Callithrix jacchus: one gene and its partners. The protein of the gene in region 1 purifies or fractionates together with the protein of each later gene. This does not show direct contact. Links are inferred from orthologs where the notes say so. Each region holds a gene or a part of one and is shown in the gene's direction. Other genes may lie near its edges.

Evidence for each region.
Region 2: the proteins of FUS (region 1) and ZNF326 purify together in Homo sapiens (affinity purification with mass spectrometry; 3 studies listed by BioGRID and IntAct, with this or other methods). This does not show direct contact. The link is inferred for Callithrix jacchus from reciprocal best matches to the Homo sapiens genes FUS and ZNF326.
Region 3: the proteins of FUS (region 1) and SNRPD1 purify together in Homo sapiens (affinity purification with mass spectrometry; 3 studies listed by BioGRID and IntAct, with this or other methods). This does not show direct contact. The link is inferred for Callithrix jacchus from reciprocal best matches to the Homo sapiens genes FUS and SNRPD1.
Region 4: the proteins of FUS (region 1) and DDX17 purify together in Homo sapiens (affinity purification with mass spectrometry; 5 studies listed by BioGRID and IntAct, with this or other methods). This does not show direct contact. The link is inferred for Callithrix jacchus from reciprocal best matches to the Homo sapiens genes FUS and DDX17.
Region 5: the proteins of FUS (region 1) and HNRNPUL1 purify together in Homo sapiens (affinity purification with mass spectrometry; 3 studies listed by BioGRID and IntAct, with this or other methods). This does not show direct contact. The link is inferred for Callithrix jacchus from reciprocal best matches to the Homo sapiens genes FUS and HNRNPUL1.
Region 6: the proteins of FUS (region 1) and HNRNPR purify together in Homo sapiens (affinity purification with mass spectrometry; 4 studies listed by BioGRID and IntAct, with this or other methods). This does not show direct contact. The link is inferred for Callithrix jacchus from reciprocal best matches to the Homo sapiens genes FUS and HNRNPR.
Region 7: the proteins of FUS (region 1) and DDX5 purify together in Homo sapiens (affinity purification with mass spectrometry; 5 studies listed by BioGRID and IntAct, with this or other methods). This does not show direct contact. The link is inferred for Callithrix jacchus from reciprocal best matches to the Homo sapiens genes FUS and DDX5.

The regions. Positions count from the first base shown.
Region 1 is NC_133513.1:30,701,585-30,705,084, forward strand, and holds part of FUS (RNA-binding protein FUS), read left to right. Parts: intron 1-191; coding exon 192-226; intron 227-1,713; coding exon 1,714-1,746; intron 1,747-2,510; coding exon 2,511-2,614; intron 2,615-3,331; coding exon 3,332-3,461; intron 3,462-3,500. UniProt on the Homo sapiens protein: DNA/RNA-binding protein that plays a role in various cellular processes such as transcription regulation, RNA splicing, RNA transport, DNA repair and damage response. Binds to ssRNA containing the consensus sequence 5'-AGGUAA-3'.
Region 2 is NC_133508.1:127,429,386-127,433,330, forward strand, and holds the start of ZNF326 (DBIRD complex subunit ZNF326), read left to right. Parts: upstream 1-1,145; 5' UTR 1,146-1,292; coding exon 1,293-1,308; intron 1,309-3,945. UniProt on the Homo sapiens protein: Core component of the DBIRD complex, a multiprotein complex that acts at the interface between core mRNP particles and RNA polymerase II (RNAPII) and integrates transcript elongation with the regulation of alternative splicing: the DBIRD complex affects local transcript elongation rates and alternative splicing of a large set of exons embedded in (A + T)-rich DNA regions.
Region 3 is NC_133514.1:64,593,271-64,596,770, forward strand, and holds part of SNRPD1 (small nuclear ribonucleoprotein Sm D1), read left to right. Parts: intron 1-165; coding exon 166-357; intron 358-2,128; coding exon 2,129-2,205; 3' UTR 2,206-3,500. UniProt on the Homo sapiens protein: Plays a role in pre-mRNA splicing as a core component of the spliceosomal U1, U2, U4 and U5 small nuclear ribonucleoproteins (snRNPs), the building blocks of the spliceosome.
Region 4 is NC_133502.1:209,419,500-209,423,625, reverse strand, and holds the start of DDX17 (putative ATP-dependent RNA helicase DDX17), read left to right. Parts: upstream 1-1,326; 5' UTR 1,327-1,653; coding exon 1,654-1,703; intron 1,704-4,126. UniProt on the Homo sapiens protein: As an RNA helicase, unwinds RNA and alters RNA structures through ATP binding and hydrolysis.
Region 5 is NC_133523.1:36,547,240-36,551,451, forward strand, and holds the start of HNRNPUL1 (heterogeneous nuclear ribonucleoprotein U-like protein 1), read left to right. Parts: upstream 1-1,412; 5' UTR 1,413-1,494; coding exon 1,495-1,789; intron 1,790-4,212.
Region 6 is NC_133508.1:60,089,410-60,092,909, reverse strand, and holds part of HNRNPR (heterogeneous nuclear ribonucleoprotein R), read left to right. Parts: coding exon 1-24; intron 25-2,803; coding exon 2,804-2,917; intron 2,918-3,500. UniProt on the Homo sapiens protein: Component of ribonucleosomes, which are complexes of at least 20 other different heterogeneous nuclear ribonucleoproteins (hnRNP). hnRNP play an important role in processing of precursor mRNA in the nucleus.
Region 7 is NC_133506.1:89,763,383-89,766,428, reverse strand, and holds part of DDX5 (putative ATP-dependent RNA helicase DDX5), read left to right. Parts: coding exon 1-8; intron 9-242; coding exon 243-384; intron 385-465; coding exon 466-626; intron 627-722; coding exon 723-895; intron 896-1,317; coding exon 1,318-1,428; intron 1,429-1,653; coding exon 1,654-1,715; intron 1,716-1,806; coding exon 1,807-1,866; intron 1,867-3,046. UniProt on the Homo sapiens protein: Involved in the alternative regulation of pre-mRNA splicing; its RNA helicase activity is necessary for increasing tau exon 10 inclusion and occurs in a RBM4-dependent manner. Binds to the tau pre-mRNA in the stem-loop region downstream of exon 10.

The DNA.
Region 1 (3,500 bases):
TTGCACACGTGTGTGTGACACGCTCAAAGGTCAGACAAGGGGTGGTCAGGAAGGGATGTATTTTAGTAGTCACTTGTATCTTTTTCCAAAAACACCTACCCATGTTTGGGGAATGTTAAACAAAATCAAAAAAACACCCTTTTGTAGCCGTTGGAAGCTTCATGTCCTTTCTTCTAACTTGTCTTCTCCAGCGGAAGTGACCGTGGTGGCTTCAATAAATTTGGTGGTAAGTGAACAGAGTTTCCAAAATTCCCAACTCCCAGCAATGCTTTGTCTGATTGTTCATTTGCAGATGTCTTAGCGTGTTAATTTAAGTGCAAAGGTATTGAGGTGTCCAGAACCACCTCCAAAAAGGGGTAGGGTAGAATGCCACCTGTTGCCTGGTGTGTGCTAACCTGGAGCAGGCAGGGGTAAGACTCATTAGTCATCTTTTACCAAATGGGTTTGCCCCCCGGTTAATAAGAGGGGTCTAGTTAGGCCTGGGACGGGTGTTGTCACACCTGGCACTTAGTGACCACCATCATGAGAAACTGGAGAGAGTGTGCTGGAACACGTGGTGCCAACTTGGCTTTAGGACCCTTTTGATCATTGTGTCCAAGGCTTGCGTGTGTGGGAGTGTGTGTGGGAGACAACCTCCAAATGTTTTAATTCTGGAAGAGGGATGTGACATTGCCCTGCCCTGAGGATGGTGAAGTTGGTATACATGTATAAAGTACGAAATGGTGTCAATGATTGCAATTCTCTGTATGTGGATTTAACTCAGATGGGCAAATAGAAACTAGCTCTGGGAAGGAACATGTGCACTACTTCAAGAAAGTTTGGAAGCATGTGTGGCTCATGGGAAATAACCAGGTCTTAAACAGCACAAACTGAATTCATGGACCAGGAAGGTCTTAAAACAGCACACACTGAATTCATGGAAAAATGACAAATTTGAGAAGTCTCCCAGTAAGCTGGAACTTTTCTGGTTTGGTTAACTAACAAAAGGTTTCTTGATTTGTCTCAACATTTAAAGCCAAAGGCTTGGGTTCATGACACTTATGTCATTGCGTGTGGGTACAATATTTATATATGGCGAATTCAGATAAACATTGGTCAAAGATGGTCTCTGGAAAAACAAAATAGAGGCTGCATTACGGAAATAAGATTTCTGGTCTGTTCCCTGGGACATGCTTAAAAAATACAATAGCTATTATGTGTGGTTTTTATTTTCATGTGGTTTTGGGGAAACAACATGGTTTTAAGAATGGTTTCTAAAGATGAAATTAAAAATTGTTCCACAAGGGATAAGTGTCTTTGGTGGTAAAGTTGGGAGAAACTGGATCGCATGGCTCGTGGTGAGCCCATCTCTCTTGGGTGAGAGAACCGGGCCAAGCTGAGTTGGTTTGTTCACTTTAATGGGTCTCCTTTCCCCTGCTGTCTGTGCTGAGGACATTTCCCAGCCTGAGCTGGGGGAGGCAGCATTTTCTGAAGTGTGGAGTTGTCTCTGTGGAGACTCAAGTTACAGATCTTAAGGGGCCTACCTAGAATTTTCTCCTCTGGGCAGGTGACCCAGGAAAGGGGTTTGGAGTGAGGCTGTGAGCACTTACATGATATTTTGCTAATTTGGATTTGGTGTTAATTTTTTTCCTTGTTCGTTTTTTCCTGTTGACTAACGGCTCCCCTTTCCTTGTTTTTGTTTTTGTTTTGTTCTTTTTTTCCATGTCACTTAAGGCCCTCGGGACCAAGGATCACGTCATGACTCCGGTGAGTTCACAGGTGGCATGAATAGAGTAGCTAAAGTGGATCAAGGCTGGATATTCTTTGAAATGTTATTAAAAGGAAACTGAAAAAATGAGGGTAGAAAGGGAGTTACGTGTATCCTTAGCAGTAAGAAGTAATCATGAAGTATTTCTCAGAAATACCTGGCTTTGTGGGTTCCACCCCCCACGATTTAGGAGGTCTGAGATGACCCAGAAAATCTGCTCAACAAGTCCCCAGTGATGCTGATGCATCTGGACCCTACTCAGAACTTTTGGTTTTCTGCAGTGTTTATTTAAAAATGTGGATCACGTCTAAGTTGGTGAACAAAAACTAGTGAACACAAAGACCTGACCACACGAAGGAAAGCATTTCACTTGTTTAGATTGTGTTGATGTTTGTGTACTAGATTTTAATGTAAAATGGGTTTCTTTCTTAATTTGGGGATCTTAACTGAAAGTTGATAAATACTGATGTACTTTGCCTGCATGGTCTTGGGTATTTCACTCCTGAGCTCTTGTTTCTGTACTGTGTATTGACGTGTTTCAAAGGATAATTGTCAAACCAAACCTGAAATTTATCAGCATGGCTGGCATATAGGCACTCAAAATAAAAGGGAATGTGGATTTCTTTTCATTTGTCTTCCATAGACCAAATCATACAAGTTGCTTGATGGATACTAGGTGTACTGCTTTTGGTTTTCCTTATGTGTTTATTTTTATTTGTTTTACTTTTTCACATTTGCGTTTTCTCCTCTGTTCAACAAGCAGAACAGGATAATTCAGACAACAACACCATCTTCGTGCAAGGCCTGGGCGAGAATGTTACAATTGAGTCTGTGGCTGATTACTTCAAGCAGATTGGTATTATTAAGGTACTTGTGGAGTGGGTGCTTTCTGTCAGTGTTGCAGGCTTTTGGATTTCACACATTAGTGTAAAAGCAAGTCTTAATGGTTGCTAGCAGTAAAAACAAAAGTCTTAATGGTTATTGCTAGCTTAAATTGTTGAGGAAGGATCCTTAGTTCCTGTTTTTTTTTGAGATGGAGTCTTGCTCTGTCACCCCAGCTGGAGTGCAATGGCATGATCTCAGCTCACTGCAACCTCTGCCTCCCAGTTCCAAGTGATTGTCCTGCCTCAGCCTCCGAGTAGCTGGGATTACAGGGACCCACCACCATGCCTGGCTAAGTTTTGTATTTTTAGTAGAGATGGGGTTTCACCATGTTGGCCAGGCTAGTCTTTGAAGTCCTGACCTCAGGTGACCCACCTGCCTCCCATAGTGCTGGAATTATAGGCGTGAACCGCCGTGTCTGGCCACTTGCTGTTTTCTAAAAGAATTTCTACTTTAACACAAAAGGTGTAACTGATAAGAGTTCCCTAAATTCTGAGATTTGTACTCTATAATAACATTTAGTTTATTTCTCAATGTTGGAGTGAGAAACACTTTTCTTTAATGGACATTTACATGTGAGGTTGGAAGAGGGAACTGGGAAGAGGGAAGCCGAAGTTTGAGAATGATAAACCTCATGTTCTGGAGGAAGAAGATGGGAGTACTGTAGCCTCTAAAATTGATGTCACCTCATTTTGCCTTCAGACAAACAAGAAAACGGGACAGCCCATGATTAATTTGTACACAGACAGGGAAACCGGCAAGCTGAAGGGAGAGGCAACGGTCTCTTTTGATGACCCACCTTCTGCTAAAGCAGCTATTGACTGGTTTGATGGTATGTATAAGAAGGTTGGCAGAGGTGGGGCTGGGGCCA
Region 2 (3,945 bases), on another chromosome or scaffold:
ACCTGACATTTTCCCAAGGGGTACAGGTTACTGAATCAGAAGAGAAATTAGTCCAATAACATCTCTAAATGTCTTGAAAATAAACATTTGTTACAGCTTTAGGTTCATCATCAAATCAGAATCCCTGAAGTGAAACCTGAGTATTGGCACTTACTAAAAAGTGCCCTGGATGATTCCAGAGTACAGTAACAATCAAGAACCACTGACTTAAATGGCCAAGAGTGCACCCCCCGCCCCCCGCATCACTAAGTATATCTTCAAAGAGAACGAAACATAGTATTTGACTAAGGAGAACTTTTAACAAACACTAATCATTAATAAGTATTAAATTTGTTTTATGCCAAACGTATATTTTACATTATCAAAGTGCTCAATAATTTGGAGAATATATAATACATAATCATGTGTAAATAAAAAGTCATCACCAAAAGATTCATTGTTCATGTTTTAGAATTCTTTCCATGAGAGTCGTGGTGGCTCACGCCTGTAATTCTAACACTTTGGGAGGCCGAGACTGGGCTGCGGGGATATCGCTTGAGCCCGGGAGTTGGTGACCTGCTTGGGCAACATGGCAAAACCCCCATCTCTATAAAAAGAATTAAAAATTTTTAAAAAGAATTATGATTTCCATTTTATTTCAATGCTTTGTCTTTTAAGGGAATTTATTGACATAGCGACGATCAGATTCCATATGCAATTTTGTATCTTGCTTTTCAAATTTGCCACAGCCTTCTAAAAAATGTCCCAGACTTGTGTGTATCCACGGAAGAAACTCCGTAAGTACTTACAAATATTCTGATCAGTCATTCTTAGCCAATGAAAAGCAAAAGCTAGGCATGGGGTTTTATTAGTTTGGGAAGCAGGGAGGCATTCCAACCGGCTTCTTTCGCTCTTGCCAGGTTCAAACATGGCGGGCAGCAGCCGGCCCTTCCCGTACACTCCGCTCGCTTTCCCACAACCCCAGCCAATCTTTGGCGCTCCTTTTTTACCTTCCTTCCCCCTCGGCGGCTCCAGGGGGTCAGCACCTCGGAGCTTGACAGCAGACCTGCTTCCCGCCCCCATGCGAGGGCCCGCCCACCAGCCCGCGCCAGCCAATAACAGGCCGCGCCGAGGGGGCAGGCAGCGCCGGTCGGCCCCGCCTCCCCAGCCTCTCTGTGGCCTGCGGCTCCCGGGCGGGTAGCGCCGGCTCTCAGTCGCGTCGAGTGAGCGTGTGGTATCGCTGATCGCGGGCGCTCGCAGCCGGCCATAGCTCAGCCCAGCGCCGCCAAGGCCGAAGGCCCCCAGCCTCCGCCATGGACTTCGAGGACGGTAAGCGCTGCCTCTGGCTGGTCGGCGCGGCTGGCGGGAGGCGGGGTGGCCTGCGTTGAGGATCTGTTTACGGTCTCAAGATGGCCGTGTGGGCTTTGTTCTGCGGGCCCTGAGGCCGCCGGCCCGACGCGGGCCCAGCGCCCGGCGTCTGCCTCTTTGGGGACCCGCGCGCCCTGATTCGGCCCGCCCGGCGCCGGCTGCCGGCGGAGACCTGAGAACTCGGTGTTGGGTAGGACGCGCCCAGAGCGCGAGGGCCTCCCGGCTGGAGCCCCAGACTCGCCTTGGCTCCTGGTAGTGGAAATTGCCCCGACGTCTCCAACTTCCCGGTCTCGAGCCAACGGGCGAGTGCGGCCTCACCCACCTAGTCTCGCATTCGCCCCGCAGGGCAGCGCCCCAGACCATCCGTTTAGCTAATCCTCAGCCTCGGTTTGCTTCTTGCCAGATATAATTTTCGGAGGCTTGTTCACAGTGATGTTTCTGGTTGTCCTGGTTTAAGATGAGTTGAAACGGTGTCTTTAAGTGATATATATATAAATAGCCATCTATGCGAAATGGAAAGCAAGGTGTTTCCTGGTTAGCAAACTGTTGTGTTTATCAACAAAAATTATCCCGTTGTTAATCTCTAATTTGAAATATTTACGTGAACCAAACCACTTTTCTTTGGATCGTATGTAGATAGGGTTTAAGTTAATCAGAATTTTGGCACAGCACGCATCAAATGTCCTTCACATTTAAACACCTGTACATAGCCTTGTAAGTATTTGACCTACGGATTGAATAAACTGTATTTTAGCAATACCTTTCAGTTGTCTCAGATACCAGTTCTTTAAACCACTTTTACAGGGTCACAAAGTAAAATTAATTTGGTCTTCACTTTTGTCTTCAAATTTTACTAGGAATTGTTGTCAAGATACGGTGGTATGTAGAGACAACATTAGGGAGAAAGGACTTGTATGATTAAGCTGGATTTAATCCTGAGTAACCAGGCATGCCGAAGTAAAACCAGTTCGCCAAGTAGGCTGTAAACCTTTCACCCCACCAAAAAAATGATCTTTAAATGAGATGTGATCTCAGTATATGTCTTACTCAATGAGCTTTTGATTTTTCGTAAGATTTCATGCTACAAAGAGTTAAGGCTGTCAAATCTAGGTACAGATTTGTGAAAGAGGACTGGAATAGCCCTCTTGTGGATACTTTTCAGCTACTTTGAAACAGTAAGTTGAGCTCTTCAGATTAGCACACTCTCGTGGTTTTGTTTGTTTTAGTTGGACTTTGACTCATTTTGATGTAGATACCTTTAAAATACAAATATTGGAAATGTCCAGAGTTGGGAGTGAAAATAAAAAAAGTATTGTATTTTCATGATAAAGTTTGATGGTAATGCCAACACCCAACGTATAGCAGAGGCTAACAAGGTGGAGGTAGGGCAGTGGAAGCAGTTCTTTCTCCTCCCCACCTAAAGCAGTAAGGGAATCCATTTTCTATAGAGCAATGAAAAACAATAATAAAACATACTATGTCTGCTTTCTATTACTGCCATATGCCTACAATTCTAAACAGTGTCAGTGATAAAATACTAAACAATATTAGTGATAAAATACTCCCTCTCTCACTGCCCAGATACACCACTGTTGTATTTGGAAGAAGGAATTTGACTAACACCATAGCCGAATCTAATCCTGTGTACTGTAGCAGGATTCTGTTGTATTCATTTGACCACTACATTAAATTCTTTTGTTTTTTCAGTATATATTTGTAAAATTAACTAAGGAATTTAACAGTTGTTAAATTAGTTTTGGTGAGGTAATTGGCAATATGGTTTTCAGTGATGACACATTCTGGATTAATATAGAATAAAATCATATATGTATATGCATATGCGTGTCTCAGATAAGATCTTGAATTTTTTTTTTTAATTGGAAACAGAGCCTCACTCTGTGCCCAGGCTGGAGTGAGGTTGCAGTGATCTTGGCTGACTGCAACCTCTGCCTCCCGGGTTCACCTGATTCTGCCTCAGCCTCCCATGTAGCTGGGACAATAGGCGTGCACCACCAGGCCCAGCCAATTTTTGTATTTTTAGTAGAGATGGGGTTTCACCATATTCGCCAGGCTGGTCTCGAACCCCTGACCATGTGATCTGCCCACCTTGGTCTTTCAAAGTGCTGGGAATACAGGCATGAGCCACTGCACCCAGCCAAAATCCTGAAATCTTTGAAGAGCAAATTAAATGGTAAAAGAAATTAACTTAGCAAAAATTTCATGTTACTTAAAATCAGTTCTCAGATATCTTTGCTTTGGCATTATTTGATACATAATTTAATCTATCTGCCTTTTTGTTACTTGGTACGAATCAGTGCTGGATCCTCTCTTTTGGCTGTTATTATATATCAGGTGTTGTAAACTAATGTTTACCATAATTTGGATAATAAATCTACTATTTGGGGAGATAGTGAAGAAAAAAAGAGATCGGTTTTCCCAAATGGGGTATTGGTAATTATTTGTACCCCAGTTTTGCAGAAGATGCTATTTATGGGAATAATTACTGTCATTTAAAAAAATTGTGCTTATTTTGGACTAGATGGTTATATAATTTTGAATTATTGCTAATATCACACTAATTCCTTTTTGTTAAATGTG
Region 3 (3,500 bases), on another chromosome or scaffold:
TTATTCCCCCATTTACCAGTCGCACGTGCTAAATTGTGTCACAGAAAACTTACACTGTAGCAGAACAGTATTCTTTTGTAGTCCAGTATTTACTGTGGCTTGGTAGATTAATTAGTTGCCTTCCTTGTATCATACTAATAACTGCCCAATTCTTTTCCTCTTGAGGTGTGGATGTCAGCATGAATACACATCTTAAAGCTGTGAAAATGACCCTGAAGAACAGAGAACCTGTACAGCTGGAAACGCTGAGTATTCGAGGAAATAACATTCGATACTTTATTCTACCAGACAGTTTACCTCTGGATACACTACTTGTGGATGTTGAACCTAAGGTGAAATCTAAGAAAAGGGAAGCAGGTAAGTTTGAAGGAATATAAACATTTTTTTGAATGCCAATCCTAATCTACACTACTCATAATATAAATATTTGTAAACAACACAAGTGTCTTTGTTGCTTAATATTTCCTATAGTATGTATTATAACTCCTGGAGTTGCTGTTAAAAACATTGATGTATTTCCTGTTCAAAGGATTTATCATTTTCTGTCCCCTGCCCCCACTTTGGAAGATTTGGAGATGGACTCTTTATTCCTAGTATTCTGAAATTTCTTAATGTCTTGGTATAGGGGCTTCTCATGTCTGTAATTGCAGCTATTTGAGAGGGTGAGGTGGGAGAATTGCTTGAACCCAGGAGGTGGAGGTTGCAGTGAGCCAAGATGCCACCACTGCATTCCAGCCTGGGCAACACAGAGTGAGATCCTGTCTCAAAAATAAATAAATTAAATTAAATTTGTTTTTAGGCTGGATGCAGTGGCTCATACCTATAATCCCAGCACTTTGGGAGGCTGAGGTGGGCGGATCACCTGAGGGCAGGATGAACTCCCAGTCTGATCAGCATGGAGACTCTTTAACAGACCAGCCTGACCAATATGGAAAAACCCCATCTCTACTAAAAGAACTTTGTTTTCTTTTTTTGAGATGGAGTCTCGCTCTTGTCACCCAGGCTGGAGTGTAATGGTATGGTCTTGGCTCACTTCAACGTCCACCTCCCAGATCCAAGCTAATATTCTTCCTCAGCCTCCCAAGTAGTTGGGACTACAGGCTCTTGCCACCACACCCAGCTAATTTTTGTATTTTTAGTAGAGGCAGAGTTTCACCATGTTTGCCAGGATGGTCTTGATCTCTTGACCCCGTGATCTACCCACCTTGGCCTCCCAAAGTGCTAGGATTACAGGCGTGAACCACCAAGCCTTACCTATTTTCTTTCTTTAAAAAGAAAAAGAAGCCAGGCATGGTGGCTTCCAGTACTTTGGGAAGCCCAGATGGGTGGATCGCCTGAGGTCAGAGTTTGAGACCAGCCCGGCCAACATAGTGAAACTCCATCTCTACTAAAAACACACAAAAAAGAGCCGGGCATGGTGGTGGGTCTGTAAAGGCTGGACTGCAGAGTGAGACCCTATATCCAAAAGAAAATTTAGAATGTGACTGTATCAGGATTTTCTAATATTTATAGCTGTCTGAAGATGAAATGTTTATTTGGGTGATGAGTTCTCTGTCATCATGATACTCAACTTGAGTTAGGATGACCAAGTGACAGGGATATTGCTATATGGGTTAAAGCACTAGATTATGTTTGGGTCAAATGAATTTTAATTTTCTGAAGAGTTAATAAGATTGTGATTGATATCATAGTTATAAACTTTCCTGGATTTGAATTAACTTGCTTGGATTTTATTCAGTTACCAGACTCTGGCATCAGGTTATTCATGTTCTATTGATATATCTCTTCCATTTTTTGTGAGGTTCAAATCATTTTATGGTGAATTTGAGACATGATATAAAGAAAACATATTTAAAATTTGACAAATTTCTTAGTAAATAAATTGAAACAAATAATAATCTTCCTAGGCCTTTAGTTCTTGGTTCTGCATGATAATGTGTTGAGGGGGTGGCGGGAAATCTGAAGTCTTAACACATTTAAGAGAAGCTAGTTAAACTTAACTTTACTGTAACTGCTAATAAAGAGCTATAAACGGGGAAAGGTGTCTGTGTGTAAACGCTGTTTGTGGTGGCTAGGTAACATTCATGCAGAAGAGAATTGAATTTGCTTTGTTTTTCTTTTCCCTCAGTTGCAGGAAGAGGCCGAGGCCGAGGCAGAGGAAGAGGACGTGGCCGTGGCAGAGGAAGAGGGGGTCCTAGGCGATAATGTTTCTCATGATTACTGTTTCAAAGTCATATGGGATCTGGGATATTTTTTGTACAGGTTGTGTTTGTTTATGTCAGTTTTTAATAAACATAAATGTGGGACAGAGTGGTCTATTGAGTATATCAGAGTTTTAGTAGTTTCCTCCACATTCATAAGAATACCACAGTGAAAGCTAAGCATTTCTACTGGGCAGTTTCATTTTTAGATGATCAGGCTTTAAGTTTTGAACTAAAATTTTTATTTTTATGATAATAAAAATAAGGTTAAAAGAAAAGCCTCAGACAAATTAAATTTGACAGTTTAATTGAGCAAAGAACAATTCATAAATCAGCCCCTGAACCAGAATCGGTTCAGAGGCTTCAGCCCAGCTGCATAGTTGATGAGGATTTATGGACAGAAGAAGGAAAGAGATGTATGGAAAATGGAAGTGAGATACAGCAACAGCTGGATTAGTTACAGTTCAGCGTTTGCCTTATTTGAATATAGGTTGAACAGTTCGCAGCCTTTGATTGGCTGAAACTTAGTAATTGGCCCAAGAGTAGGGTACCATCTGTTTACATAACCAGTTAGGCTGCAGTTCACTTTGTACTGAGAAACCTTTAGGCTAAACTTAAGATATGTAAAGAGACAACTTTAGGCTAAACTTATATAGAATATATACCCTTTTACTTCACATGCACTGAATGTGCATTTTATTGCTTTACTCTGACATCATTCTGTGGCACCCACCTACAAGGGGAAGTAAGTTCTTTTTGGTATTTCAGAAACTAAAGTCCTTGTGGGATGGGGTCTAAAATTCTCAATTCCTGGGGGGCCGGGCGCGGTGGCTCAAGCCTGTAATCCCAGCACTTTGGGAGGCCGAGGTGGGTGGATCACGGGGTCAAGAGATCGAGACCATCCTGGTCAACATGGTGAAACCCCGTCTCTACTAAAAATAACAAAAAACTATCTGGGCATAGTGGCACGTGCCTGTAATCCCAGCTACTCAGGAGGCTGAGGCAGGAGAATTGCCTGAACCCAGGAGGTGGAGGTTGCAGTGAGCTGAGATCCTGCCATTGCACTCCAGACTGGGTAACGAGCGAAACTCTGTCTCAAAAAAAAAAAAAAAAAAAAAATTTCGCTGTTCCTGAGTTTTACTCCACAGAGTCTAAGGTACTTGGTAAAAAGTTGTCTTCTATATTAAGGGTCATTGCTTTTGTTTTCTAGCTGCTGATTTTTGTTTCTTTTGCTTTTTAATCAGTTCTCAATAGGGTATAGTTTTAATGTTCTCCAAGTTGAAACTTGGAGTTAAATGT
Region 4 (4,126 bases), on another chromosome or scaffold:
GCCTGTCTCGAGGGCCCTAACAGCTCAACGGTCGTGGGACGTCATCTGGCCAAGTTTGAGGGGCGTTAAAATGCAGCCTGAGAGGACAGGGAGCAGGTAAGCAGAGGGAAGCCAGTACAGCAGGAACTGAGCGGAGAAGGTGGGCTAGCCCGGTTAAACGCTTGTCCTTATGGCCTCGCCCTTTCTGTCTGACCACCGCTGTTCTCCTGAGTGCTGGGGTCTTCTCGGGGCTTTCTGAAGCGCGCCGTTTAAAGGCAGCCAAGAACCCACGGGGTCCACTGGGGCTCCAAGCATTTTTTTTGAGACGGAGTCTCACTCTGCCGCCCAGGCGGGAGTGCAATGGCGCAATCTTAGCTGATGGCACCCTCCCCTCCCGGGTTCAAAAGATTATACTGCCCCAGCCTCCCGAATAGCTGGGATTACAAGCGCGCACCACCACACCCAGCTAATTTTTGTATTTTTCGTAAAGACGGGGTTTCACCATGTTGGCCGGGCTGGTCTGGAACTCCTGAGTTCAGGTGATCAGGAGACCTCGGCATCGCAAAGTGCTGGGATTACGGGAGTGAGGCACCACGCCCAGCCTCCGAGCACATTAGCAACGGCTGTGCTTGGCCAGGGAGGGTGAAAACATACGGGTCAGAAAATGCACCTCAGTGTGATCCAAGCGTAGCTGGGGGCGCTTTAACCTAATGGGGACGTCGACACCTCACCAACTCCTGAAAGAAAGGGACACGGTGCATCCATCATGGCTGCCGGAGACAGAGCAGCGAGAGGCAACCAAAAGAAAATGGCGCCGGGGCCCGCCGCCATTCTCAGCCAGCCCCGGGCGGCGGGGCGAGAGGGCTGCCAGCACCATATGGGAAGGCCAGTCAGGGAACTTAAGACCCTTCCAGCCTCCGGCACCAGGAGACCCCGAAACTTGATAACAATATAGAGGACTGTTATTGTCTCTGCAAAGGAACTTCCACAAGCCCTCCGCGGTGTCTGACCCGAGATCACAATCCGGCAAAATCCTCTATTCTCTGAACAGAATGCGTTACGCATACTGCGCATCTTCGCAACAGCGGGCCGGCAAACGACGCAAAGAATGTTACGTCGCACTGGAGGCTCTTCCACCCACCTCACCCCACGTTCTAGTTCAGGTGGCGCGAAAACTCTACGCTCACTCCGTACTTTGTTTTTCTTGTACACACCGCAAAATACCCCCATCGTCGCAACTGACGTAAAGTGCTTCCAAGAATACCCGTAGTACCCCGCGGAGCCCTCGGGCTATTCCGAGACGCTGTTTACGTATCCTCTCCGCCGTACGTAGCGTTAAGTTGGAGCAGACTCAGCAGCGGCCGCCATTTTGTGCAGTCGCTGGGAAAGAAGGAGACGCCTAAACCGCGGCACTGCCGGGTTTGAGCGTAGCCAAACCTGCCCACCGGCTATATAGCCCCGATTCTCTGTGTTTTGCTCCCGTCTCCGACGAGAGAGGCGGCGACGGTGGCGTCTGCGACGGGAGACAGCGCGTCGGAGCGAGAGAGCGCTGCGCCTGCCGCCGCCCCAACAGCGGAGGCGCCGCCGCCATCGGTCGTCACCAGACCGGAGCCGCAGGCCCTCCCGAGCCCGGCCATCCGTGCCCCGCTCCCAGATCTCTATCCGTTTGGGACCATGCGCGGAGGCGGCTTTGGGGACCGGGACCGGGACCGTGACCGTGGAGGGTAAGGGTGGGGGAGGAGAGGAGAGGCCTGGCGTGGGGGTGGGGAAGTTGCTTCCTGGATAGGCCCAGCGGACTGAGGGCCTGAGCGCCTTGTTCTCGACCCCGGGAGGCGAGGCGAGACGGCGGTTTCGTTTGCGGGCCTCGGACCGGGGTCACTCCGACCCGGGAAGGGCGGCGGCTTGGCGACGCTGGGCCTCTTCGTGCGGACGGCCGTCGTGGCGCGGTCCGGTCTCGTCGCAGCCGCGGGGGGGATCGGGAGGGCGGCCTGGCCGCAGCAGCCCCGGCCCGGGTTGTCGGGGCCTCGCCTGATTTACCGGCTCTTCCCGTCTGGCCGCTTCGGGCGGGCCGTTTGATGTCTCCAGGCCTCGACCTTCATCTGGAAAACACGGATCTTCCTAAGAGACTTCAGCCCGGCAAAACCTTTCACGAAATGGCAGCCTTGACATTCTGTCCCCAGAGTTCACTTTATGGCACTGGAGACCAAAACACCGACTTTTTATTTTTAAAAATAGGTTTTAAACCTTTAAAGTCATATTTTAAGTGGGAGAAATACATTGGAGTGTAAAGCAATGGAGTTCCCATCTGAATGATCGTGTTTAGGGGAAGGAGAGATTTTTGGGTCGTTTAGTTTTAATTATAATATTTCAGCCTTTTCTCCCCGTAATTGGACAGCAGCAGCAACTGTTCTATCTTTCTAGAAAGTTCTTAGTGTTATGGGCCGGGCGCGGTGCTTCACGCCAGTAATCCAGTACTTTGGGAGGCCGAGGCGGGCGCATCTCCTGAGGTTAGGAGTTCGAGACCAGCCTGACCACCGTGGAGAAACCCGGTCTCTACCAAAAATACAAAATTAGCCGGGCGCGGGGGCACATGGCCTGTAATCCCAGCTACTCGGGAGGCTGATGTAGGAGAATCGCTTGAACCCGGGAGACGGAGGTTGCAGTGAGCAGAGATCGCACCATTGCACTCCAGCCTGGGCGACAGAGGGAAACTCCATCTCAAAAAAAAAAAAAAAAAGTAATTGGTATTATAATGCCAGAATTACTGAGTTGGAAGTTAACTTTTAAGTTTAAACCTAAAGTTCCCAGATTTAAATTTTACTGTTAAAAGAAAATATCGCTTAAGAGATGTTCTTATTTGTGTTACCACTTAGAAAAGCGGTGTCTGTACAGGCCGGGTGCAGTGGCTCACGCCTGTAGTCCCAGCACTTTGGGAGGCTGAGGTAGGCAGATCATGAGGTCAGAAGTTTGAGACCAGCCTGGCCAATATGGTGAAACCCCTGTCTCTACTAAAAATACAAATAACCGATCTTGGTGGCGCACACTTGTAATCCCAGCTACTTGGGAGGCTGAGGCAGGAGAATCGCTTGAACCTGGGAGTTGGAGGTTGCAGTGAGCCGAGATCGTGCCACTGCACTCCGGCCTTCCCCCAACTCCCCCTGCCCCCCAAAAAAGTAAAGTGATGCCACTTTGTGTGTGCGCGGCCTTGGTCAAGATCGGCAGCCGTTGTGAACCTGTTTCCTCTCCGAGCCTTTACTTTGATGATGTCAGGGATTAAAAGATAATGGATGTCATTGTCTGTCTGTAGCGGGGCTCTGTTAATGATATTTTCTCCAAACATTTTTGTCTTTTGTGGTTTAGATACACAACTACCACATTAACTAGTCACAACCACTTCAGTTGCCACTTTTTACAAGATGAAAATGTTGATTTATATCTTATTAGGAAGGAAAATAATTGATCTCATTTTAAGTTGAGAGGTGGAATGTTTGCTCAGTGTTTTACTGTATTGCTAAGTTTAGAAGTGAATTTCGGTACAACCAGTTAGAAAAATAATTGGAGATTATCTAGGAAAGTTGAAAACCCAGAAATTCCTCACTAAGCTTTATACCCTACACTGTAATGCCTAGAACAATCCTTGCACACGTGGCCCAGTATCCTTACCAGAAAAATTTGCATACCAGCATTCATGACAACAGGATATTGGAAACAAATGTCTCAATAAGTTGTGGGTATTTGTGCCATTGAATACAATTGAATCAGTGGGGGGAGGGGCACGGACTTGGATTAATGTGAATAAGTCACAGACTTGTTGAGTTAAAAAGATTGTGGTAGGGTGACACATTAAAGGCTATGTGCAAAAATGGCAGGAAAGGAATGGTTAACGAAATTGAAGGCAGTGGTTATTAGGGTGAAAGTTGTAAATGTGAAACAGGCACATAGAGGGGCTACAAGGTATTAATAATGTTGTATTTCTTTACAATGGGTGTTTGGGTTAATACTTCCTTTCCCCATATATATGCTTTAATAAGTTATTTGAAAGGAGGCAAAAGGTGAATTACTGATCCATACTTGACTATCAGATGGCATTTTTAAAAAATTTCAAATGAACTGGCCTTTCAAGATCTGCCCCAGCTCTCCCTTTCCC
Region 5 (4,212 bases), on another chromosome or scaffold:
CGAGATCGCGCCCCTGTACTCCAGCCTGGGCAACAAGAGCCAGACTCCATCTCAAAAAAAAGAAAGAAAGAAAGAAAGAGGAAAAAAAGAACTGGATGCGTCTGATGTGACGCATGCCTGTTTGTTTATCTCTGCGGGGTGTGCCTTTGTCTAAGTAGAGATGGTGTGTGGCTTCTGCGGGCTTAACGTGTGGCTCGGGAGGGAGTAGGAGTCTGCATCGTGTACCCCGATTGCGTCTTACTCGAGTTTTGCTTTCTGAGTTAGAGGCGACAGGTGGTGCGGCGTTAGGCACTGGGAAGCTCTCTGGCGTTTGTATTCATGAGCGCGAGCCTTAATGACTGATCCGCGGGTTTGAGCTTGTAGGTACAGACGCCAGATAGCCCGATTTACGAGAACAGCCGATTAGAGGATTCGGGAGAGCGGTCGGTGAACTTCTGGAGGTCTTTCGGGAGGGGAAGGCTCTATGGTAGCGTGCAGAGCGCCCGTTCCACGTCAGGTACCCACCATAGAGGAAGGCAGCTGCGGACTACCCAAGGGAAGGGCAACTTGCCTCCCGTTGTTAGTCTGGCCTCTACCCCCAAACCTTCGGGATTTCCTGAAGTCAAAATTTTGCTTTTTCTAAAAACGACTGGGTTTCTTTCAGATTACGAACTGTATATTCACTTAATCTCTATTCCATATACCTCCTACTACAGCGAAATTTGTGAGACAATCCTCTAAAGCACGGCCAATCTGGTGAACTTTTCCTAAAACGAGCCATCTCTGCCAGCTTTAGGAGCTAAGACAATAACTACGATTGGTGGGCAGATTGTTTTGAAACCGCCCTAACGGCAAGGGGCAGGCCCTCGGTGAATTCATCTGTTTCCGGTTTCTTAAAGGCAACAGGAAGGAGGGGTTTCTGCCGACACTCCGTTTCATTGGTTCTTGTGGTTTTACCCGCTCGGACTCCTCAAGGGGCGGGAGATGTAGACCAATCGGAATGTGTGTTACAGAGACACTTAGTTTGATGAAAGGACTACGCAGAAAGGCCGTGGGGCACTCATTCTGAGATCTCACCGCCGATTGGACCAAACTGTTACTCCCTTGTTTTCATTGGGCCTTACGGCAGGAGGCGCGGGAGAGCTATCCAATCAGCGCGCGCCCCGCCTCCTGCCTTTTCCCGCCCTCCGCTCCGGCCTCGGCCTCGACGTAGGCCAACGCTTCCTTCCCGGTAGCTCTTGGGCCTTCTCGTTGCCGTTTTTTGAAAACCGCGTTCTGATTGGCTGGGTCTCATGGCCGGCGCCCGTTGCCCCAAGCACTGACCAATTGGCACTCGTGTTACATCGGACGAGGCACGGGTGAGGGGGGAGAGGGCGGCGGCGGCCATTTTGAGCCGCCGCCGCCATTGGAGTGGGCCCCCCCCTTCCCCCTTCGCCTTCTGACAGGAAAGGTTTAAGGGGGACATAGCCCTGGGGGGCCGGGCCGGGCTCGGGGGCCACCCCGGGGGCCCGGGCCATGGATGTGCGCCGTCTGAAGGTGAACGAACTTCGCGAGGAGCTGCAGCGCCGCGGCCTGGACACTCGAGGCCTCAAGGCCGAGCTTGCTGAGCGGCTGCAGGCGGCGTTGGAGGCCGAGGAGCCTGACGACGAGCGGGAGCTCGAGGCCGACGACGAACCGGGGCGACCTGGGCACATCAACGAGGAGGTCGAGACCGAGGGGGGCTCCGAGCTGGAGGGGACCGCGCAGCCACCGCCGCCCGGGCTGCAGCCGCACGCGGAGCCCGGCGGCTACTCGGGGCCGGACGGACATTGTGAGAGTGCGCGGGGCGGGGGCCGGGGAGCCCGGAGCCTGGGCCGAGGAAAGGGCTGTGGGACGCGGGAGTCCAGCGCCTGAGGTCGGGGAGAAGACTAGAGGATCGGGGGATCCCGCCACCCGCCGCTGAAAAGGATCTGGGGACAAGGGCCCCGGCGCGACCGGAGGGTGGATCCTGACACTCGGTGCAGGGGGGACACTGGGGGAGGGGCTCTGGGTTTCGGAGATTAGAGGCCGGGGTGGCGGGGAGGATTCCGTACCGTGGGGCTCGGATCGGAGACCGGAAACTTGGTTTCTGGGGCCGGAGAGACTCGGAAGAACAAGACGTTTTCCATTTGGGCTAGTGAGGGTCTCGAAAATGGGGATCCTGGGGTTCGGAGCTCGGAGGGCTCGGCGGCCGTGCTCGCCCAGCGTGTGGGCTGGGGGGCGGGGAGCCGTGTTTCCAGGGTGGGGAGAGAATGTCCAGGTGTGCGGGGCTGGGAGAGTTTTGAAGAAGGAGGATCCTGGAGTATGCCGCTGGATGCGATCCTGGGAGTTCTCCCGTTTGCTACGGGGGTGGGTGGGTGAGGTGGAGGCGCTGGTGTCTGTGGCTGGGGAGGATCGAAGGAACTCAGTGCTCTGGAGGTTGGCTGGTGAGCATTTAGGGGGATGCGGGAGCTTGAACCAGAGGGCACCGCATCTCTCTTCCGCGGTTGGAAGGCCACCCTTGAGGCAGGCACAGCTTGGACATGTGGTGCTTTGAGATCTGGGGACTTTCTGGTTGGCCGCTAGAAGAGGTCCAGAGGCTGGCGGGGGAGAGGATGCTTCCCTGGACAAAAGATCCGGGGGTCTAGAGCTAGGAAGACTGAGGACAGATAACTCCGAGGCTGCTGCTGAATGGCCTGGGGCTGACTGTGGGCTTTCCGCGAACAGGGGGTAGCTGGGGGTGGGAGGGGTGGGGGCAGATGAGTTGGTAACATTCGAAGTGGATGAAGTATGTGGCGGGAGACAGGATCCTGTATCCAGCACTGAAGGAGTATGGAGCTGGTTGGGCGTATGAGGAGGGGCAGGCTGTAGGGAGCAAAGAGAAAGGAGACCTGTTGACTTCACTGGAGGCCCCAGAGTGGAGTGCGCAGAGTGTTTCTGGACCCGAGCATCTCCAAGAGAAATCTCGTTGGTTGCCAGAAGCAGTTTTTTATGTACCCAGGGAGTGGGGACCCTCAGGGAGCAGCAGGGAACCTCTGCATCAGCCAGGAAGTGGGACTCTGGGAATGAGTTCAGGTAGATCTGTGGTTGTCTGAGGAGAGGAAACCCTGGTATGGGACGGAGTGAATCTTCAGTTAGAGAAAAGCAGCTTGGTTGAGCGCAGTGGCTCACGCCTGTAATCCCAGCACTTTGGGAGGCCGAGGCAGGCAGATCACGAAGTCAAGAGATCCAGACCATCCTGGTCAACATGGTGAAACCCCATCTCTACTAAAAATGCAAAAATTAGCTGGGCGTGGTAGCGCCAGCCTCTCATCTCAGCTGTTTGGAAGGCTGAGGCAGGAGAATCGCTTGAACCCAGAAGGTGAAGGTTGCAGTGAGCCGACATCGCGCCACTACCCTCCAGCCTGGTGACAGAGCAAGGCTCTGTCCCCCCAAAAAAAGAAAAAAGCAGCTTTCTTTCTTTTCCCCTTCCCCTTCCCGTTTTTCTCCCTCCCTCCCTCCCTCCCTCCCTTCCTTCCTTCCTTCCTTCCTTCCTTTTTCGAGTTGGGGGTTCGCCAAACACCCAGGCTGGTCATGAACTCCTGGGTTCAAGTGATCTGGCCGCCTCGGCCTCCTGAGGTGCTGGGATTACAGGTGTGAACCACTGTGCCAGGCCTCCGGGCAGCTTTCTAGTAGGACTGGGAAATGTGCCTACTGGAGAGGTTAAGCAGTAAGTAGAAGGGATTCTGGCATAGAGTTTGTAGAGTTTTTCTGAAAAGAGGGCATCCTGGGACTTGGGGCTAAGGGAATGAGAAGAAAAATGAGATAACAGAAGAGACAGGAGTTGGGATTGGCATTGGATACTTGTTCATAAGAGGTAAGGTTTCCTGGAGGGAGATAACCCAAGTGTGGATTTGGGATAGACAGTGGCTTAGGAATTATTCAGAATCCAGGTGCTGGAAAGGGGACTTCCCATTGCAGAGACTTGTGAAGAAAGGAGTGGCCCTGTGTGCATGTCTAAAGCAGGAGGGACTGGCAGGAATGCCTAGCAAGAAAGGGTAGTGCAGTAGTAGTGACCTGGAGGTCTGGCCAGAGAGTCCTGTCTGAGAGGAGAGTGAATTAGGTGCTTTGGAGTGTAGTCCCTAGACTCAAACAGACTTTGTTTCAAATCTGGCTTAACAATATTGTCAAGTCACTTCATCTCTGTGAGCCTGGTTTCCTTGTGGGTAAAATGGAGTTAATAAATACTGTCTTTTC
Region 6 (3,500 bases), on another chromosome or scaffold:
GGACCTGATGAAGCGAAGATCAAGGTAAAACTTGACTTGGGTAGTTGCAATGAAATTACATTTAATGATGAGGTCAAATGCTTCTTTTCATGTTTCCCAGAGAGTTTCACTTTTAAAAATTAGTGTTTAGAAATGAAATAATTTAGAGAAATTACATAAGAAGGATAATTTTGGGGGTCAACACTCAATTGTATGTTTAACGAAAAGCCCTAATTCATATTCTCCCTCATTCATGGCCATGAATGATGTAGAGACAGACTCTTGCTCTGTTGTCCAGGCTGGAGTACAGTGACGTGATTTCAGCTCACTGCAACCTCTGCCTCCCGGGTTCAAGCAATTCTCTTGCCTCAGCCTCCTAAGTAGCTGGGATTACAGGTGCATGTGAGTGTGCTTGGCTGATGTTTGTATTTTTAGTAGAGATGGGGTTTCACCATGTTGACCAGGCTGGTCTTGAACTCCTGACCTCAGGGGATCCATCTGCCTAAGCCTCCCAAAGTGCTGGGATTACAGGCATGAGCCACCATGCCTGGCCTGAACAACGTACGTTTATTGATGATTCTGCTGGTAGTTTCTTGGATTGATCCAATAATGTCTCTTGGTTCAGTTATTTTCCAGGCACTTTGTTTCTTTTCTCTTGATAAAAAGATGTTGTTATAACTGCTTTCCTCCTTTTGAATTTTCAGTTACTTCAGTTTATTTGTAAAATGGGAAGAGTAATAGTAACTACCTCACAGAGTTATTTAAGGATTAAATGACTTAACATATATAAAGCACTTAGAATAATGCCTGGAATATAGTAAGAACTATTTAACCATGAGCCATTATTATTACCATTTTGTTACTTAGATAAACAGCTTTGAAAGGTAAATATACGCTTTTAGTGAAAGACCAGTAAACCTGATTCCTTATAATGGATACTCTGTCTTACTGTAGTGATGTACTTTTGTTTTGTTTTGTTTTTGAGACAGAGTCTTGCTCTGTTGCCCAGGCTGGAGTGCAGTAGTGCGATCTCAGCTCACTGTAACCTCTGTCTCCTGGGTTCAAGCGATTCTTCTGTCTCCCTCTCCTGAATAGCTGGGACTACAGGCATGCACCACCATACCCAGCTAATTTTCTTTTTATCTTTTGGTAGAGACGGGGTTTCACCGTGTTGGCCAGGCTGGTCTCGATCTTTTGACCTCAGGGAATCTGCCGACCTCAGTCTCCCAAAGTGCTGGGATTACAGGTGTGAGCCACTATGCCTGGTCTGTGATAGACTTTTTAATTTGAAATAGATATTTTATGTTGAAGTTATTTCTATTATTATTACATTGTAATATGTAATGAAATAATTATACAACTCACCATAATGTAGAATCAGTGGGAGCCCTGAGCTTGTTTTCCAGCAACTAAATTGTCCCATCTGGGTGTACTGGGAAATAGTGACAGATCTTAAGGCATTATATTCTCATAAGGAGCCTGCAACCTAGATCCTTCGTATGTGCAGTTCACGATAGGGTTCACGCTCCTATGAGAATCTAATTCGGCCGCTGATCTGACAGGAGGTGGAGCTCACAGCTCAGGCAGTAATGCCAAAAATAGAGAGGAGGAGGAGCAGCTGTAAATATAGATACAGCTGCTATGCAGCCCAGGCCACTACTTATCCATGGCCTAGGGGTTGGGGGAGCCCTGTTTTCTATTGCATTTATTTCTATGTTTAAAAGTAGAGAGCTCTGTTTCAGTTGAAAGTGGAGGAATGGAAGGCCGAAGACATGCATCCCTGTGGAACCCTAGTTCATTGAACTTGATGATATCTAAAGTCTCTTGTAGTTCTGACATTGTCTAATTTAAAAAACCTGAATTGTAAAATTCTCTCTTTTCTACATAGATTGCATTTCTTTGTTTGCCATTGTGTGTTTTGTTCTGTAGGCTCTTTATGTAAATGTTGCCTCAATTATAACATAAGCTCCTTGAGAGCAAAGACTTTATCTTCTTTTCTTTGATTCCTCTTAATGCCTAATAGAATGTAAGGAAGGTTGGTAATCAGGAAACACAAGATTTTACATATTTTTTGAAACTTGACTAATTTGGTAATTGCCAAATGTTTTTAGTCTGTACTGTGTGATTCTTGTCTGATTGTCTGATTCTTGTGGTGCTTATGATATGGCAGGAGTATAAAACAAAAGGATCAAACAAAGCTTCAATTATGGGACCTTGAGTACACTAGAAAGACAGTGGGGGCTGGTCGCGGTGGCTCACACCTGTAATCCCAGCACTTTCGGAGGCCAAGACAGGCAGATTACTTGAGGCCAGGAATTCCTGACCAGCCTAGCCAACATGGTGAAACCCTGTCTCTACTAAAAAGAAGAAAAATTAGCCGGGCGTGGTGGACATGCCTATAATCCCAGCTACTTGGGAGGCTGAGGCAGGAGAATCGCTTGAACCGGGAGGCATAGGCTGCAGTGAGCTGAAATGATGCCATTGCATACTCTAGCCTGGGTAACAGAGCAGGATTCCATCTTAGGGAAAAAAAAAAAAAAGAAATTAGGAAGAGAGGGATGTGAGTAATAGTAAACAAGAGAAGCTGCATGAAGGAGGTAAGACTTATGCTAATTTTTTGAGGATAGAGAACATTTTATTTGAAAAGACTCGCTGGTAGAAACATGTATGGGGAACTAGTGTGAATTTTGACTTTTTTTTTTTTTAACCTAATCATAAAAATATATTTCCTAGGAAGTTGGAGTACTTTGGAAAAGATTAATACATTGATGCTTGTGTTTGAAATTTAGTATTCAAGTATAAAGAGATGTATAATTATCTCTAGGCCTTGCTTGAGAGAACTGGTTATACTCTGGATGTAACCACGGGACAGAGGAAGTATGGTGGTCCTCCACCAGACAGTGTGTACTCTGGCATGCAACCGGGAATTGGAACAGAGGTAAGTGTTCTTTAGCTGTTTGCCAAGATCTTTCCAGGTTGAAAAGTGTTTTGTCTACTATGTAGATACTGTACAGAGGGGGAAAATACTTGATCCCTTTCAAACTGTACCTGCTATTATTTTTTAGATATCCATGTGTATGGATGGGAGTTTTGCTGCCATTATGAGCATGGATAATGTTGTGACTAGTAGATATCCACACACTTTATATCAGAATATAATATAGAGTTCTTGGAACGGGTTGCTAAAACCATGCTACTAGCAACACATCATTTTATATATTTGGAGTAAAATTATTTGGAAGATTGAGTTGCTTTATTCTGTTTTTTTTTCCTGCCCCTGAGATGGAGTTTCACTCTTGTTGCCCAGGCTGGAGGGCAGTGGCGCGATCTCAGCTCATTGCAGCCTCCACTTCCGGGGTTCAAGTGATTCTCTTGCCTCAGCCTCCCCAGTAGCTGGGATTACAGGTGTGTGCCACTACACCTGGCTAATTTTGTATTTTTAGTAGGGATGGGGTTTCACCATGTTGGTCAGGCTGGTCTTGAACTCCTGACCTCAAGTAATCCACCCGCCTTGGCCTCCC
Region 7 (3,046 bases), on another chromosome or scaffold:
GGCCTATTGTAAGTATATATTTTTATCTTTTGATTAAAGCATAATGTATAGATTTTTAGACTGCATAGCAAAAGACAATCATTTGTGGTAGTTTTATATAGAGGTTAGCTCACCTTATTTAGTTGGAGCTGCTTTGGGTACTGGACAGCACGTATTTAGAAAGGATCTGCGAGCATGACTAATAAGTTAGTAGTTTAAAACTAGTGTCCAAGTTGTGCTGAAAGTTGTTTCTCTTTCCTTAGTGTTTGGTGCTGGCACCAACTCGGGAACTGGCCCAACAGGTGCAGCAAGTAGCTGCTGAATATTGTAGAGCGTGTCGCTTGAAGTCTACTTGTATCTATGGTGGTGCTCCCAAGGGACCACAAATACGTGATTTGGAAAGAGGTAGATAATGAAAAAGGTTTTGTTAATTGGTGCTAAATATCCTAGGTATTGTAGTTACAGTTATGTGTTTAATAATTAAAGGTGTGGAAATCTGTATTGCAACACCTGGAAGACTGATTGACTTTTTAGAGTGTGGGAAAACCAATCTGAGAAGAACCACCTACCTTGTCCTTGATGAAGCAGATAGAATGCTTGATATGGGCTTTGAACCCCAAATAAGGAAGATTGTGGATCAGATAAGAGTAAGTGTCAATCTAAATAAGTGATCAAATTCAATTCTGTTTTGGCTTTTAAGTCCAATGCTAATTCTCCCCCACACCCCCACCCCAATCCATTAGCCTGATAGGCAAACTCTAATGTGGAGTGCAACTTGGCCAAAAGAAGTAAGACAGCTTGCTGAAGATTTTCTGAAAGACTATATTCATATAAACATTGGTGCCCTGGAACTGAGTGCAAACCACAACATTCTTCAGATTGTGGATGTGTGTCATGATGTAGAAAAGGATGAAAAGTAAGTTTTAATTAACTCTGCTATGTTTGCTAACAAGTTTGCTGTAAAATTGAGAGATCATTGATGTTGAGTTAGGTTATTTCAGTTGGTGTGTTCTACTTCATTTAGTGTTAGCATATTAATTCTTTTGAAAATCTCTTGAATCTTTCAAATAATTGGCTGTAATCATTTATAGCATTCCTATGGAAGAAATTCGTGTGTCCCCTGGTTGACTTAAGGACCAAGGGTCAAACTGATTGATAAGTGAGTGGCTTAGCAAGTGTTTCTTTGACTTCTAGCCATGTAAAATTAAACCTAATGTTTTGCTGACTGTAAATGTGTGGCCATAGTGATGGTCTTTTAAAACTCAGGGTTTTCTGGCGGTGGGTCGGTTTAAAAAAAAAAAAAAGAAACAAAGGATTTTCCTTTTTCTCTCTTACTAGACTTATTCGTCTAATGGAAGAGATCATGAGTGAGAAGGAGAATAAAACCATTGTTTTTGTTGAGACCAAAAGAAGATGTGATGAGCTTACCAGAAAAATGAGGAGAGATGGGTATGTGTGGGCTCCTGCATTGAAGCAGATTTATTAGAACTGAGCTTAGGAAAGGGCGAACTTGGATCAGGAACAGTTGATTTAAGTTTCCTATCTGATAGTATGGGTAAAATGATGTATGTGTTACTTGTGGAATTAAAGGGATCTGTGAATAAAGTGATTAAGCAGTTGAGTCTTGAGGTTTTTCAATGTGAGTTTAATAATACAACTTGTCTTTTAACTTAGGTGGCCTGCCATGGGTATCCATGGTGACAAGAGTCAACAAGAGCGTGACTGGGTTCTAAATGGTAAATATTTCAAATGAAGCTTTTGCCCCTCCTTAATCTAGCTAGAATTCTGCTCAGATAATTGATCATTTGTATGCCTTCCTTTTTGTAGAATTCAAACATGGAAAAGCTCCTATTCTGATTGCTACAGATGTGGCCTCCAGAGGGCTAGGTTAGTACAAACTCGCATTCATGGCTTGGTTTCCCAGAAGATCTCCATTTAACTTTTTTAAAGAAAGTTTATTGCTTTCTTTAACCTCTGCATTTTTTCTTAAGTTTTTTTTCACATAAAGGTGCAGTCTTTGTGGCAAGGCCTAGGCATGACAATCGGAGGACTCGAGGGGGATGGAGGACTAGTGATCGGCTGGCTGCTTCCAGTCGATTAGAGAGGTGAAAAGCTGAACGTGTGCCAGTAATCTTCAAAAGGCAGAACATACCACCTCTGCCCCGTAAACTGTTCTCTCCGAGGGAAAATAAGGAAGTTATCCTCACAGTTCACTGCCGTGGTATTTCTTCTGTCCCATGCTTTGCATGACTGCCATGGTACAGCATTGTTTCAAACTGTTCACTGTGATCTGTGGGTCTTTGAGTTTCAGTGAGTTTGCTGAAATGTCGAAGAAATATTTCCAAACTTCAATGTTCAATGAAATTTTTGTTCAAGTTTGAAATGGAGAGAGCAGCTTTAAAAGGTACTAAAGCCTTTTACAAATTGGTGAGTACTGGCACATGAGATGTAGAGCAGGAGCAACTTCTCACACTTAAGTCAGTGGGAAAAGAAAGTGCTTTGAAAGTTCCTCCCTCACCTACACAGTAGTCGTCATGTCGAGACCTGCCAGAGAGAGACACATTCTCAAGTGAATCCTGGCTTCTTGGAAGCGCTTGCCTAGACGAGACACAGTGCATAAAAACAACTTTTGGGGGACAGGTATGTTTTCTTGCAGCTGCGGTTGTAAGGTCTTGGCAAGACAAGCAGTGTGGCCAGAGAATTTTGAACTTCTGATAAATGTGTAATGCAAAGGACCTTGTACATTTTTTTGTTTCAAGGTCCTCAAAATGAGCACATGAAGAGGTTGCTGTGAAACTTTAAGTGGCCCTACTGCGCAGAAGCATTCAGATGTCACTTGATGATCTGTAAGGGAACTTGCTGATTTGGGAATGTGCTAGGGATACACATTCCTTTTGACAGGGTCTGTCATTGGGTGGGTGAAGACTTAACACAGATGACATGTGCTTTTTTTTTTTCTTTTTTCAATCTCAAATGGTATTCCTACAGGGAATGGATAACCATTTTAACTGTATTTTTTGCAGCCCGTACCTTCTTGGGAATACAATTGTCTAACTTTTTATTTTTG